Lonchura striata: one gene and its partner. The protein of the gene in region 2 purifies or fractionates together with the protein of the main gene of each other region. This does not show direct contact. Links are inferred from orthologs where the notes say so. Each region holds a gene or a part of one and is shown on either strand. Other genes may lie near its edges.

Region 1 (7,237 bases), on a different chromosome or scaffold from region 2:
TCAGTGTGCTGAGTCCTGGTCGTCACGTTTCTAGAGGGATTTTTAGCCCTCGTGCTCATTTGGAGCTGTCTGTGGCGCAATCGTTCTCACAGTAAGCGTTGGGGGGCGAGGGGGGTTAATTGTAAAGCTATTCGCCAGTAGCAGGGATGGCTACTGATTTCCCTCATATGGGTCGCTGACCAGACACCAGATGGTGGAAATAACCTGTCCTACTATTCTGGCCCAGAGCTGGCAATTCAGAGGTGAAAAGCTTTATCCCATTACCAATTGCCTGAGCCATCCTGTCTCCAACCTGAGGGCTAAGGATTAAACAGTTAATAGTCTTGGAGTAACTACCGCCCCCTCAAATCTCCCATCCACTGCACAGCCCAGGCAGATCTGGGAGAAGGTCCACAAATGTCAGTGCATTTTATTGACTTTAAATTCTGCCTAAGGAGGAATGAAAAAGAAGCCAGGCTGGTAAAATTACTGCATCAATTTGGATAGTACTACTTATGCAACATCTGGAAGGAAAAGTTTATTGCAGAAAAAATGTCAGGAGAAATAGAAAAACCAAGTAGGCTGTTTGTGAGAAATGCAATCTGGAAATAAATGGAGTAGGCATCATAAGAAAAAAATATCATTATAGAATTCCCTTTTGCAGGTTTCAGGAAAAGAGTCACATTACTGGTATTAACACTACACAGTCAGAACACCTTAATCAGCTCAGAACAGAAGAACCAGTTTTAGTGAATTTATTATTCATCCTATATCCTCATTTTCTTTGCCTTCTGCACAAGTACTTTGCTCTGCTGCATTCAAGCTTTTAATTAGTACACAATAGATTTCTGTATTGCATCCACAATTGCTATCAAAATTTATGTTATACACTATAAATTGTCAGAGAAGCTACTTTTACATTTGTGAAGATGACATAAAACATATAATTTAGAGTTCAAGATAACTGCTAGGGAAAAAACTTACAGAATTTCTGAACTTCTCTATAACCAGATGTAATCACTAGAATTCTTTAAAAATGCAAGTAAGTACCAGTATGAAGGTTGAAAATATGAGAATACAAGAGGAAGGAGCCAGTAAGTAATTTTTGAATATAAATAAGTGTACATTTCCATGTTAGACCTGGATATATTTGAATCTATATTCTTTCACTCCTGCAGAAAAACGTGATTGAGATTACATATCATGATCTTATAAAATCCTGTCCCACTATAATTACCATAATTACCAGGACATCTAGTTAGACTCCTTCACCCATCTGGAAGACTGGACTGTTCAAATCTGTCAGGCCATGCACAAAGAACTCATTTACAGGGGAGCCATGGAAGGAACTGCAAAAGAGCTGCCCTTGAGAGAGGGGAACGGACAAGCAAAGCTCCTTGCTGCTATCTTACTGTTCATTCCTCCCTTCATGTTTCGTACAGCTTCACTTAGGGCAGCTACAGAAATGTGTGCAGTGTGTATATATAAAACTTCTTGGTCAGCTTTTCTCATGATAACCTGCTTAATCCATTCACAATCATGATGTTTCTAATGACTAAAATTACTCCATCTTTTGTCCATAGCCATCCTACCACATCACACTTAGTGTCACAGTAAGTAGTAAAAAGCATTGTTCTAAGATAGACTACAAAAACTGGAATCTGTCATGTGTAATTATTTTACTTGAAAATATACAATTAGGTCTTGCAAAAAAATTTAAATATTAAAAAATTAATCAACTGTTTAAATTTAAAAAGCAAAAAACAAAACAAAACAAAACAAAAACCACAAAAAAACCCCAAAAAAACAAAACCAAACCAAAAATATAAAAGAAACTTTAATTTTTTCTTTAATTTGGAAAAGACGGGAGAAAAAAAGTAAGTTAAAGGAAAATAGGCTAAGGAATATATTCAGAAAAGGTATAAGACTATTTAGCTAAGGGAACTGTTTTTCAAGATCCACATACAAATTTAAAACAACTGAAAGTATGCTTATCAAAAACAAAATCAAAGAAAAATACATAAAAGAAGTGGGAATTTTTAATGGAACTTACTACAGCTGACCCCTAGGATAACCATAATGAACCTGTCAGTATTAGCGGCTAGATGGTCCACAGTCATTGCTGAGTAGCCAGAGTACAACTTGTGTGCTTCTGAAAACACAAATGGGACCTTGACAGAAATTATATTTTCATTACAAAATTTGAGCCCTTTGTGGACTAGAAGGGATACTAAACAAATTTGCAGATAATACAAAACTGGGAGGAGTTGTTGGCTCCCTCAAAGGCAGGGATGCCCTGCAGAGACACCATCTCAGAGGGCTGGACAATCACCAATTATATGAACTTCAACAAGCGACAATGCTGGATTCTGCACCTGGGATGGGCAGCCCTCGATGTATGGACAGAATGGGGAACGAGAGGCTGGGAAGCAGCACCACAGAAAGGGACCTGTAGGTCCTGGTTTGTGGCAAGTTGAACAGAGTCAGCAGCGCCCTGGCAGCCAGGAGGGCCACCTGTGTCCTGAGGTGCATCAGGCACAGCATCACAGCTGGGCAAGGGAGGGGACTGTCCCCTCTGCTCTGCTCTGCTCTGCACTGGGGGCAGCCTCACCTCCAGTGCTGGGGGCAGTTTTGGGTACCACAGTGTAAGATGTTATTAAGCTATTGGAAAGCATCCAAAGTAGGGCAATGAAGATGGTGAAAGGTTTTGAAAGGAAGCCATATGAGGAGTGGCCGAGGTCACTGAGGGGAAATCTCATTGCAGTCTACAACTTTCTTGTTCAGGGGAATTGGAGGGGTCACCAATCTCTTCTCTGCGGTGACCAGTAACAGGATCCAAGATAATGTCCTGAAGTTGTGTCAGGGGAGACTTAGGTTGGAATTAGGAAAAGGTTTATCATCCAAAGGGTGTTTAAGCACTGGAACAGCACAGCCTGGCAGAGTGCAGTGCTCTCGAGGACATGCTGTGACTCTTGGGGATGGTGCTATGCACGAGTGGGACTTGGACATCCCTGTGCGGCCCTTCCAAATCAGCTTATTCTGTGGTTCTGTGATAATGCAGCAGAGCGTGGAGCTACCGTGGGTTTCTCAGTCAGTCTGGGCATTGCACACTCCTAACCATGGCTCGTCACTGGCGGCCGGCAGACAGGCAGAGAGCGCGGACCCCCAGCTCCACCACCGGGATCATCGGGCATCCCCCTGCTCCCTCCCGCCTGCTACGTGCCGGGGCTCCCCGGCATTCCCCGGCTCCCTCCCGGCCGCTCCATCACCGGGATCATCCAGCATCCCCCTGCTCCCTCCCGGCCGCTCCATCACCGGGATCATCCAACATTCCCCGGCTCCCTCCCGGCCGCTCCATGCCGGGGCTCTCCGGCATTCCCCGGCTCCCTCCCGGCCGCTCCATCCCGGGGCTCTCCGGCATCCCCCTGCTCCCTCCCGGCCGCTCCATGCCGGGGCTCTCCGGCGTTCCCCGGCTCCCTCCCGGCCGCTCCATGCCGGGGCTCTCCGGCGTTCCCCGGCTCCCTCCCGGCCGCTCCATGCCGGGGCTCTCCGGCGTTCCCCGGCTCCCTCCCGGCCGCTCCATGCCGGGGCTCTCCGGCGTTCCCCGGCTCCCTCCCGGCCGCTCCATGCCGGGGCTCTCCGGCGTTCCCCGGCTCCCTCCCGGCCGCTCCATGCCGGGGCTCTCCGGCGTTCCCCGGCTCCCTCCCGGCCGCTCCATGCCGGGGCTCTCCGGCGTTCCCCGGCTCCCTCCCGGCCGCTCCATGCCGGGGCTCTCCGGCGTTCCCCGGCTCCCTCCCGGCCGCTCCATGCCGGGGCTCTCCGGCGTTCCCCGGCTCCCTCCCGGCCGCTCCATGCCGGGGCTCTCCGGCGCTCCCCGGCTCCCTCCCGGCCGCTCCATGCCGGGGCTCTCCGGCGTTCCCCGGCTCCCTCCCGGCCGCTCCATGCCGGGGCTCTCCGGCGTTCCCCGGCTCCCTCCCGGCCGCTCCATGCCGGGGCTCTCCGGCGCTCCCCGGCTCCCTCCCGGCCGCTCCATGCCGGGGCTCTCCGGCGTTCCCCGGCTCCCTCCCGGCCGCTCCATGCCGGGGCTCTCCGGCGTTCCCCGCGCGCAGTGACGCAGCAGCGCGCGGCGCGGAGGGGCGGGGCGGGGCGGGGCGCGGCGCGAGGCCGCGGCCGGCAGGGGGCGCCGCGATGCCGCGCGGCGCGCGTGGCGGGGCGTGGCGCGGCGCGCGCGGCCCGGCGTGCACCGCGGCGGCGTTTGAATGGCGCAGGCTCGGGGCGCCGGGCCCCGGCAGTAGCGCTCCCGCCGCTCCTCCGCCCGGCCCGGCCCCGAACATGAGCAGCGGGTGAGTGCCGCGGGGCCGGCCGCAGCCACGGCAGCGCGGCGGGGCCGCGCTCTGCCCCGCCGGGACCGGGCGCGGCTCCGCGGCGTCGCGCCGGGCGGGCGGGCCGGCGGCGGGGGCCGCGGGCAGTGCGCGGGCGCGGATCGCTCCGAGCCCGCGGTGCGCGGTGCCCGCCGGCTCCGGACAGCGAGCTCTGGCGCTGGGCGCCTCTCCAAGATGGTGCCGGCAGCCCCAGCTGGAAGCAGGCGCGTGCAGTGGCGGGGCCGTGCCAGGAGAGCGGGGAAGGCTCTGGTGCTGCCGACAGGGAGGACAACAAGCTGGGTGTGAGGCCTGCTGACGGATTTAATTTCTTGGGTGTGACAGATTCCAGGGTTACGACGGGGGGGGGGGGGTGAGGGGGGACCTTATGTGCTTGAAGATCAGATCCTGCATTAATTACTTCGTTCAAAAGGCTTCAAATTATTTTTTCAGCGTTGGGCTGGATAGTTTTGCATGCAGGTTTAAAATAAAGATGTTATGTATAGAGAGCTCTCTTAAGGAGCGATTACGTGATGATCTTGGAAATCTTTTGTTTCTGTTTTTGTAACATGCTCTGCTTTGGAGAAAGGTTAAGTCTGTTTATTTAAAAGCAGCTTTCGTCCATCTCTTAACAGAAGGCAAGTTTGTGCCTCTTTGGCCTTGCTGATAGGAAAGAAGACATTCTTGAACTAAAATTAGAATTGATTTGAATTCCTAAACTTTAAAACTCAGAATTTCATTATGTTAAAAATTACATTATGAAGGTATTTTTTGTATGTATATTAGAAAGTGTATGTCAGTATGCTGATACACATATATTCTTACAGCCACGTGTATCTATATACATCACTTCATACCCACTTTTACTGTGTGTTGGTCTTGGGGTAAGAAGCTTGACTATAAATGAAGAAAGTTTTTTAAAATGCTGTAAACAGACTACAGTCAATAATAGGAATGTATTTGAGGGTAGCATAAAAAGCCATGTGAAAATTGTGTGACAGACTGTTCAGCCAGGTGGGCATGTAGTGAATAATTCCTTAACCTCCACCAAGTCTGGAGCTTGAGGGGTTTGTCAGTATGTCTGTCTCTGGGTTTGAGTTCAACATTCTTGTTGCAGTTTTTTAAAACTCCTTGGGTTGAGCAGTAAATGGTAGAAGAAATTGCTGTATTTAATTTCATGGGTAGTTTCTTAAAGAGTTGTGTAAGACGTTAATGTGGAAGCTTTAGTGTTGTGGAAATGTATTTCTTTTATAATGTTTATAAAAGCTTTTTAACATCTCTCAGTTATAAAACTTTTTCAAGCTTATTGTCACCAGAGTGTTCATAAGTAAAGATCAACAGGTAGAAGTATCTTTTCGTTAGTGAAAGATGACTTCAGAAAGGACTTAACCACTGAGAGCTGCTGTTACTTTATGGCACCTTTACATACCTCTAAATGGTACCTCCAGATGCAGAAAACTGAGTTCTTTACTTTTTTTTTGTAGAAAATGTAAGTAAGGTTCAGTTATTAGACTCCTGGGCTATTTCCACAATGAAAGCTAATGCACACCTGGGTTCATCCTCACTAAACTTGGATGAGCTGTGACTTGTGGTTATCTTTGAAGGTTCATTATGACTAACAGTGGGCCACATACAAATTTCATATGTAAGAGGAAAATGAACTTAAATCTTAGGTATAAGCTAATTTACCATAATTAGTTGTTCAAATAGTATTTTTATTTACTGCAAATTTAGAGAAATTCCTGTAGTTTTTACCAACATCTGGAACAAATGCCCTGACAAGTGTAGCACATTAAAAAACTGTATTCTGCTGGCATATACCACTATTTATAATGTTGCAGAAAAGTTTTGCATTAACATACTCCTTAAAATCTGAATGCCACTTCCTCTTTTTAAGAAAACTCAATTTTAACAGCTGGTGAGTACATCAATTACTAAAAAAGGAATTAGAAAAAAAACAAACTGTTTCCTATGCAAAGGATGTGGAAGCCTTCTAAAACACAAAGACACATGGATTCTGTAACATTTATCAGAGCTAAAATGAAAGGAAGTTATGCCAAGCTTGCAAAATCACTTCTACGTCATAAGATAGTGCTATTTTATTGTTGTAAGCAAATTACCCTTTTGGAAATAAATTTGAAATAACCATTCTTGGAAGTTTCTTGTGACCATTGTAGATCTGATAATGGCCAGTTAAATGAGTTGACCCTGATGCATACCTATTTGGAATGCTTTCAAAGCATGTGCTCTCTTCCTTGGGAGTAATGATTAATGAGGCTTTTCATTTGAGTTTAATATTGTCATCCTTGAACTTGCAGTTGGGCTACTGTGGGGTGGAGGAATATCACAGGAGCATTTCCCATGGCTGGTGCATGGGGCATGCTGCAGGAAAAAGTAGCTATTAAGAATTTGGACAAGGAATAGGATGGAAGAGTGTGTGTTTTAAAAGGTACTGCTGATGACTTAAGAGATCTAACTATTTTAGGTTTTCCTTACTGCCATGCAAAGTATGGCAGCCTGTGTTCTGTAAGAAAATTTTATTATGTTAATATGCATGTAGATTACATAATGTGCCAAGAAGAGTTTGTCCCTCTCTGGGGGCCGTGCCCAGAACTTAGGACATGGGAGGGAGTGGCAGAGTTGTTAATACTTGCCTTGGACAGATATGCACTTGAAAGCCTGTTAGTGCTGATTTCTTTGCCTAATTCTGGTATGACCTGAAGAGTTTTATTGCATATGGGAGAGATCAGAGATAGAAAATACCAGTAAAACCATCAAGAAAACTTCGCACAGGTACTGTCTGTTGTGTGTAGGGACAAACCAGCTTATGCTCAGGAGACATGGCTGCTATTACTTTAGTCCTTCTTCTTACTGGAGATTGAAGAGAATAAAAGGGGGAG
Region 2 (6,886 bases):
GAAGCATTTATAATGGTTAGAAGATGGTTATGAGAAGTTTTCTCAAAGAAGTTGTTAGTTGCTTACTATAACGAAAATGAGTTTGCAGCTTAATAAAACAGTCCTGTTCTGCCTTTCCCACAGCTGTTGAAATAGAGTAGCTTTTAAGATTAATTTCATTTAGCTTAATTATTATAAAATGGTTGCAGTGCATAACTACTCCATTTTATATATTATGTAAAAAAGATTGCTTTTCATGTAAATAAACTTTAAAGATTATCCTCCTTCTTAGTAAGTATCCCAGTAAAACTGGTCTACTTGTCTTGGAGCAAAGTATAATATATTGCTGGTTAAAGGTAATTTAATCAAGCCTCTGCTTCACCATTTTTGAAGTGTGCAGAGAAAATAATGTCAATTCATTAAATTGACTCTTAAAATTGCCTTTTCATCTGAGTATATTTCTCCTCTGCCTGCACTATAGTATACGATGGTGTATTCCTGTTTAATACTATTACTGATCCTAGGCAATTTAAAAATAATTCTAAAAAAGAATAAATAAGTGTCCTGTAAAGGCACCATTGGTCTAAAAAGAAAAACCAATTGCTTTTATTAAAGGAAATTATTGATTGTTTTAAGGACATGCGCAGGTACTGAAATACTAAATACTCTTTTGCCTTTTTTAAACAAATACAGGAAGTGCTCATAACTTTAGAATTTGGTAGATGCTTCTGGCATTTTCTAATATCATGTGTTAGAAGTTCCTTGTTTGCATTTTGCCACCTGTATGCTGCAGTGTTACGTGTTTCCTTGCAAGAAGTTACAGTCCGGGTTCTTCTCTGAGAAAGTTAGTTACACATGAATGTTGTCACAACTCTCCAGCATGCTCTGCTTTACCTATGTTTTGAAACTTGACATAGATTCAGAGTCTGTTGAGATTCTTCATATTTGCTGCTTAAAACATGGGTGTTTCACTGGTGACCTACAATGGGGATTGGTTTATACAGGCAGTGGAGAAGAGAGGCTCCTAGCCAGCAGTTGTGGAGTTCTGCAGTAAGTTTTAGTTCAGGTTACCTTTACTTTGTAAAGCATGAAAACAAGTTTCTCTTTTATGTGTCCTTGTATACATATTAATTGTATTTATAAAATGTTCTATAATCCTATAACTTGTACTGTAAATAGTATATGATATTCAGTGGCATTCTATCCTCGGGCAGGCCCTCTTGCTGTATCTTTTCTATTTTCAATTTGTAATAGAATCTATAGAATTTTTGTCTTAGAAAGTCTCTTTGAGACTGATGTATCTTCCGCTGGTGCAAAAACTGTGAGTGGGAATGATTTATTTAGACTCCTTTTAATATTATTCAGCTGATAGGCAGTGCAGTGGGTGGGTTCTTAGATTATGCTGCTGTCACTGAAGATACTATTAGGCTTTTGTTTCAGATGTTGTGGGTGTTTCAGATCAGAACTTAAAATCTGTTTGCTTTATTTCAGCCAAAGCAAAAAAGATAATGAATTGGGTCAATGTCATACTAAAATGTTTTGAATGCCTTAAGATGGTCATGATAAAGGCACTATTCAAGTTTACTGATTTATATATATCTATATAGATATATATAGACATATTCTGTGTGTATATGTATATATAATGTCCTTTTTGTATTATAAGACTGTCAGTTCTTTGGAGTCTTCTATTAAATACATAGACCATCCCACAATTCTGCTTAAGCGGATCATTCATTTATTCTGTGTCTAGCTAGTAAACTTAACAATTTTGCATTATCTCATGGCCATAGTAAGTTATTCACCAATTTTTTTGCGTGTTCTTTACTTGTCTCGATCATGACTGGGCATCCTGTTTTGCCAGGTCTCTGCATTCCTGCAATCCAGCTACATGTGTGCCATGCAATCTCTGAATGTGCATTGGCACACTTGCGTCTTTGGGGCTTATGGGGTGGTGGCTTGGACTGTGATCTCCAAGACTCCTGGTGTTCATGTGAAAAGAATGTGCATATTTGCTGACTTTTCCAGTAGGTACACTGGAGCATCCATCCCCTCCATCCAGGACTGCCAGGTTTCCAGTTTGTCAGTGCCCAGCAGTTGAGCAGTGGAGGCTTTCTTGCCCCTTTTGACTGAACACACAGCATTGTGTGTTTGACCTGGGGCATGGGATGCGAGTGGTTGCACTGACACCTTCTTAAAAGCTATTTAGAATAAGAGAAAGAATTCCAGCTCTCATGAGCAGCCTAACTGAATTATCAGCTACTGGTAGTCAGTGGCATTCTGAGTTATAGAAATTGTTCTCAGAATCGGTTTCTGTAGTGTAACACTTCATGGGATAATAGACACCACACTGGACCTTTATAAGAAGTGAAAATCACATTCTTATTTTGGCTATTCAGACATAAAATGTAAACATTAGTTGCCTAATTACATTTATTTTTCTGTCCTCCTTCACATCCCTCTTCAAGTTCTGTTTATGCTGCAGCAGTTCTACTGTTTAACATTAAAATGGCACACATGTAACAGCAGGAATGCTGTTGTATTTGGCTGTCACCTCATGTTTGTAACCTGTTCTGTATACATGTTGATTTTCAAGAGATCAATTTGTTGGTATTCTTTCTGTGTCCTCTGCTGCCTCTTTCATCAAAATAAGTAAATCTTACGAATCACTGTTACTATTTTTTATTATTATGCATACATTATGGACCATGAAGCTGTTCCTTAAGAAGACAATGTATCACAATTTTCATCTGTGTTTGTGAAAATCCCCTTCTTGAAGTGCACATCTCAAAGTGCTAATGCAGAAACTAATGTGTTATTGGAGAGACTGAGTTATATCCTGATTCTGCTATACTTGTGGAGGAGTCTGTGGAAGTACAGTACATTTTTTATTCATTAGCCCACCTACAAAGGGGAGACAGAAAATTCCTCCAGCTCTCATCAACCAAGTGATGTGATACACTTTAAATTTTAGAAACTCATCAGCAGCTGTGTCTTGATAGCTGAAGTAATGTAGGAATGGTTGTTTTAAACGTAGACATTTGTTAGAAATGGGAGACTAAAACTGCCAGTTTAAGAATGGGTAGAAATAGAATAACAAGACGAGTAAGAATGGATGTGATATAGTTAATTAAAGGATGACATACTGCTGTGGGGGTTTGGAATTGACCCTGAAGGACTATAATAAACCTCCTGCATTGTGCTCAACCTTTAGATCCTCTTTGTTGCTAAGCAGCTGAGTCTCTTTAGACAGGTGACGAGGTACTGCTCCATCAAGGATACTTAAGGGCAGTTTCCTGGGCTGACTCCACTCGCTCGGCAGCAGGTTTTCCTCAGCACTCTTAGACACGTTTTCTTCCCCAGAATAACACCATCTGTGAAAGTTTGAAGGAGTGCAGACAAGTCACAAGCAAAGAACATGTGCTTGCTTGCTGTTCACTTGGCGAAACTCACATTTGGGAGTTACGGAAAGGAAATAGCTAAAGGGAAGCAAGCCATCGGCCACCAGGGCGGGATCTCGAGTGCGGTGGGGAAGGAAACGTGTGTTCGTCACCTTCGAGTCACGAAGGCAGGGAGCGCTCCTCGCACAAGCATTGGTGGTTCAGTGGTAGAATTCTCGCCTGCCACGCGGGAGGCCCGGGTTCGATTCCCGGCCAATGCAACTGCCCTTTTCTCGTCTCTTTTTCTTTCTTGTTTTTTTTCCCCGTTACTCTTTAAAATTTAAAAACAAAACAACCCTTCGCTCTTAGTTATAACGCTCAAACGTAAACCAACTGCTCGTCGGTCCGGCTGGGTGGGCCTTCTCCCCGTCCTCCCAGGCTGGAAGTGACGCAGCCGGATTTGCCTTCAAAAATTGCCGGCGGCGGCGGCGGGAGGTGGAGGGCAGGGCCGGGGCGGGGCCAGCGGCGCTGCGGGAGGAAGGGGGCGGAAGAAGCGGAGGGGTCGTGGCTGGTGCCGCCGTGAGCTGCTGCCGCCGCCGCGGGAGCGAGCTCCGGAGAGGAGTAAGTGACGGGAGGGGCCCGGGGTCCGGCCGGGCCGCAGGGAGCGGCGGGCCCGGGCCGGCGGCGGCCGCGCCCCGCGTGGCGGGGCACCCTGAGGGTTCCCGGGCACGGGCGGCTCCGGCTGCTCTGCCCGCGGCCGGAGGGCGAGGGGCCGCGGGGCTGCTGTGGCGACAGCCGTGACCACGGAGCTCGTTCTGTCGGGGCTGTGCTCACACGTGCTCGGCGCAGCTCTGCCCGGGGCTGCCGCTGCCCGCAGGTGCGGCCGGCGCTCCCGGCCCCGCAGCCCGCCCGGGTGCGCTCCCGGGGCTGCTGGCACCGGCCCGGGCACGGAGCGCTGCTTCCCCGGTCTCCCTTCACCCTCCACCTGTTTTGGCGGTGTGGCGTTTTTTGTTAATGTGCAGTAATCTGCGGCGATGCAAGCTTTCTCTCCAGACAGAAGCTGTCGGCAGCAATTTCAGATACCTATTCAGCCGCGGACCTCACTAAACTTCCAGAGAAATTTGTTAATTTAACATTGATCGCCAAAAAGAATGCCAGCCCCTATGAAGTGGGGAGAAGCCTGTTTAATAAAGCCTTCTGAAAGGCTTAGCCTGGAAAACGTAAAATGACATGCCACCCATGTGTTTCTACCTAGTGATTGATTTTTAAATGTTTTTTATTTTCCACAAACTGCCAGCCATACTTAGGTTTGTGGCTGCTGATGGTTCTAATGCTGTTACTGCTAAATACAGCAAATGCATGAGAACCATTTTGTTTAGTATCCAGTAAGTCTGGCATCTCTCCTTCCCCAGTAATCAACGCAGTCATTTGTTGAGACCAAATGTTGCTGGCCATGGATGTTATGAAGAAGAGTATTAAAGGTGGAAGCAAACTCAGAGGTGATGCAGGCCATTGTGGCATCACTAAAAACTGATTCCTGAAAGCTGTTACTGTGAGGTGTTTTTTTTCTCCTCTGGCTTGCCAAGAGAACTTTGCAAATATTACAGGGTTGCTTTGATGTCAGAGCCGGTATAGCAGGCTGAAATAATGGAAACATGTGCACTCTGCCAAAATTCAGGCTCTGGCTTAGTCCAGACGTTAAGGTTGGAGCAAAGAACTCCTTGAAAGTATTTTCCACATACAGTTCATGCCTTCCAGTCAGCTGGTCTACCACAGTAATTGACACACTATCAGTCAACCTCTTCTTTTATTTTTTAAAGTTTGGGCGTCTTCTTTGTGTTACAGGATTGATGCAGTGTTTCTGGATTCTAACATACGACTCTGAGCAGAAATTACTTACAGTACTTTCCACTGATGATTTCTTGAACTTATTATGGAAAGCTTGAAGTATCCTCAGGGTTTTCTTGATAATGGTTAGGCTGGTATCTTTCAAATGAAGTACAAAAATAAGTTCCAAAACCTCATTCTCACAAGTTGTAGGGATATTGAACCTTTGTTAGGTTCAGCCCTTGCTGGACTTGGCTGTTCTATACTCTAGAAATATTTTAGGTCCTTGGAGCAAATGATAAAATGTATTTTGCAACTAGAGATGGGTTAATTTCGGACAGCCTTAATACTCACAGCTGGTGTGAAAAGTGGTTATTCTTGTGAAGTCTGTGTGTTTGTACACAGTAAAGAATTAAACTTGGAAGACAAAGTCCTTAGGTTATTTTCCTTGTATCCTGTTCACTGTAAACTTTATGAGCTCTTCACTGTTTCAGCAGCTGTTGGAACTTAGATAACTTCACTGGTCATGATTCATGGAAAGGTTGTGGCTAGTAAGTGCAGACCTGCTGCTTTGACATCCTGTTACGTGATAGCACCAAGTATTTGTAAACACATGTGATGTTGCTAAGTATTTGTAAATACTTTAAAAATTAATAAGTAGTGCAGGATTAGTTTTTGAGAGTTTTAATCCCTTCTGGTTTAACTCTGTATTTGTGTGTAGGGAGTTCTCCACCCTGCTGTACTGCCCCAGTATATTGTCACCTCCTGCCACAAACTTCAGTCTGCTTTCAGATTAGTACTCTGACTCTTCTTTTTCCCCCTTAGAGCTTCTTTACCATCTTCACTTACAAGTGCAGCAGACTCATGGACTCATTAGTATATCAGCTCTGACACTGCCTGAAGTTGTGGCAGCAGCAGTGGCATGTCCAGACATAAGCAGAGCCAGCAGCTTTTTCTGCCTCACTTGTACTCAAGAGCCTTATATTTGGAAGCCACTTCAAAAGCTCTTTTGCTCTCATGAGTCAAGATGAGGCAACAAATTAAATTGGTTTTCTAGTTTAAGCCAAATTATCTTGCATTTTCAGTAGCACTGGTGAGACAGGTAGATTCCAATAGTATTATCAGCTCGAGTGAGCACCTTCTTCCTTCTTTTGTTTCTTCCCATGAGTTGCTAGCTTAGTCTGCTTACATGTCTGTTTATTCTTTCTAGCCTTATATTCTCTGCCCTTTCTAACCTGAAAATGTCATTGACTGTTTTTATTATGTGCAGTGCTATCCTTTTGGTCCCAAGCTTTCATACATTTCCGACTTAGCCTCTTTAGTTTTGTTGTTTATTTTTTTTCTAATTCTAGTTATTTTCACATTTCCACATGAAAACTATTCTTATAAACTTTTCTTTTTCTGTGTACATAAAGTTGCTGTTCTGCTTGGATTGCTCTACAGCATTCAGTGAAAAAAGTTACGTATGACTTCTCTCTGTATTTAAAAGTCTAGTTTGATTTTAGTAGCTTGCTATTACTTGATTTTTAAAATGTCTATTAGCATCTTGCTCAACTCGTGATTTCAGTATGTTAGTCATCAGTTTGAATTCTCAGGACAGGCAAACAGGTGTATCTGGTAGGATGAGCAAGAGTGGAAAAGCTCGCTCCTAAATACAGCAGGGAAAACTTTGTTAACATCTGTGTGATGATCCATACAGC

The links. Proteins that work in one complex are often made in the same cells at the same time.
Region 1: the proteins of KATNA1 (region 2) and KATNBL1 purify together in Homo sapiens (affinity purification with mass spectrometry; 3 studies listed by BioGRID and IntAct, counting the BioPlex papers as one, with this or other methods). This does not show direct contact. The link is inferred for Lonchura striata from reciprocal best matches to the Homo sapiens genes KATNA1 and KATNBL1.

Annotation. Positions count from the first base shown.
Region 1 is NC_134608.1:31,725,669-31,732,905, reverse strand, and holds the start of KATNBL1 (KATNB1-like protein 1), read left to right. Parts: upstream 1-4,216; 5' UTR 4,217-4,322; intron 4,323-7,237.
Region 2 is NC_134605.1:57,553,414-57,560,299, forward strand, and holds the start of KATNA1 (katanin p60 ATPase-containing subunit A1), read left to right. Parts: upstream 1-3,879; 5' UTR 3,880-3,980; intron 3,981-5,134; exon of another isoform or gene 5,135-5,737; intron 5,738-6,886. UniProt on the Homo sapiens protein: Catalytic subunit of a complex which severs microtubules in an ATP-dependent manner. Microtubule severing may promote rapid reorganization of cellular microtubule arrays and the release of microtubules from the centrosome following nucleation.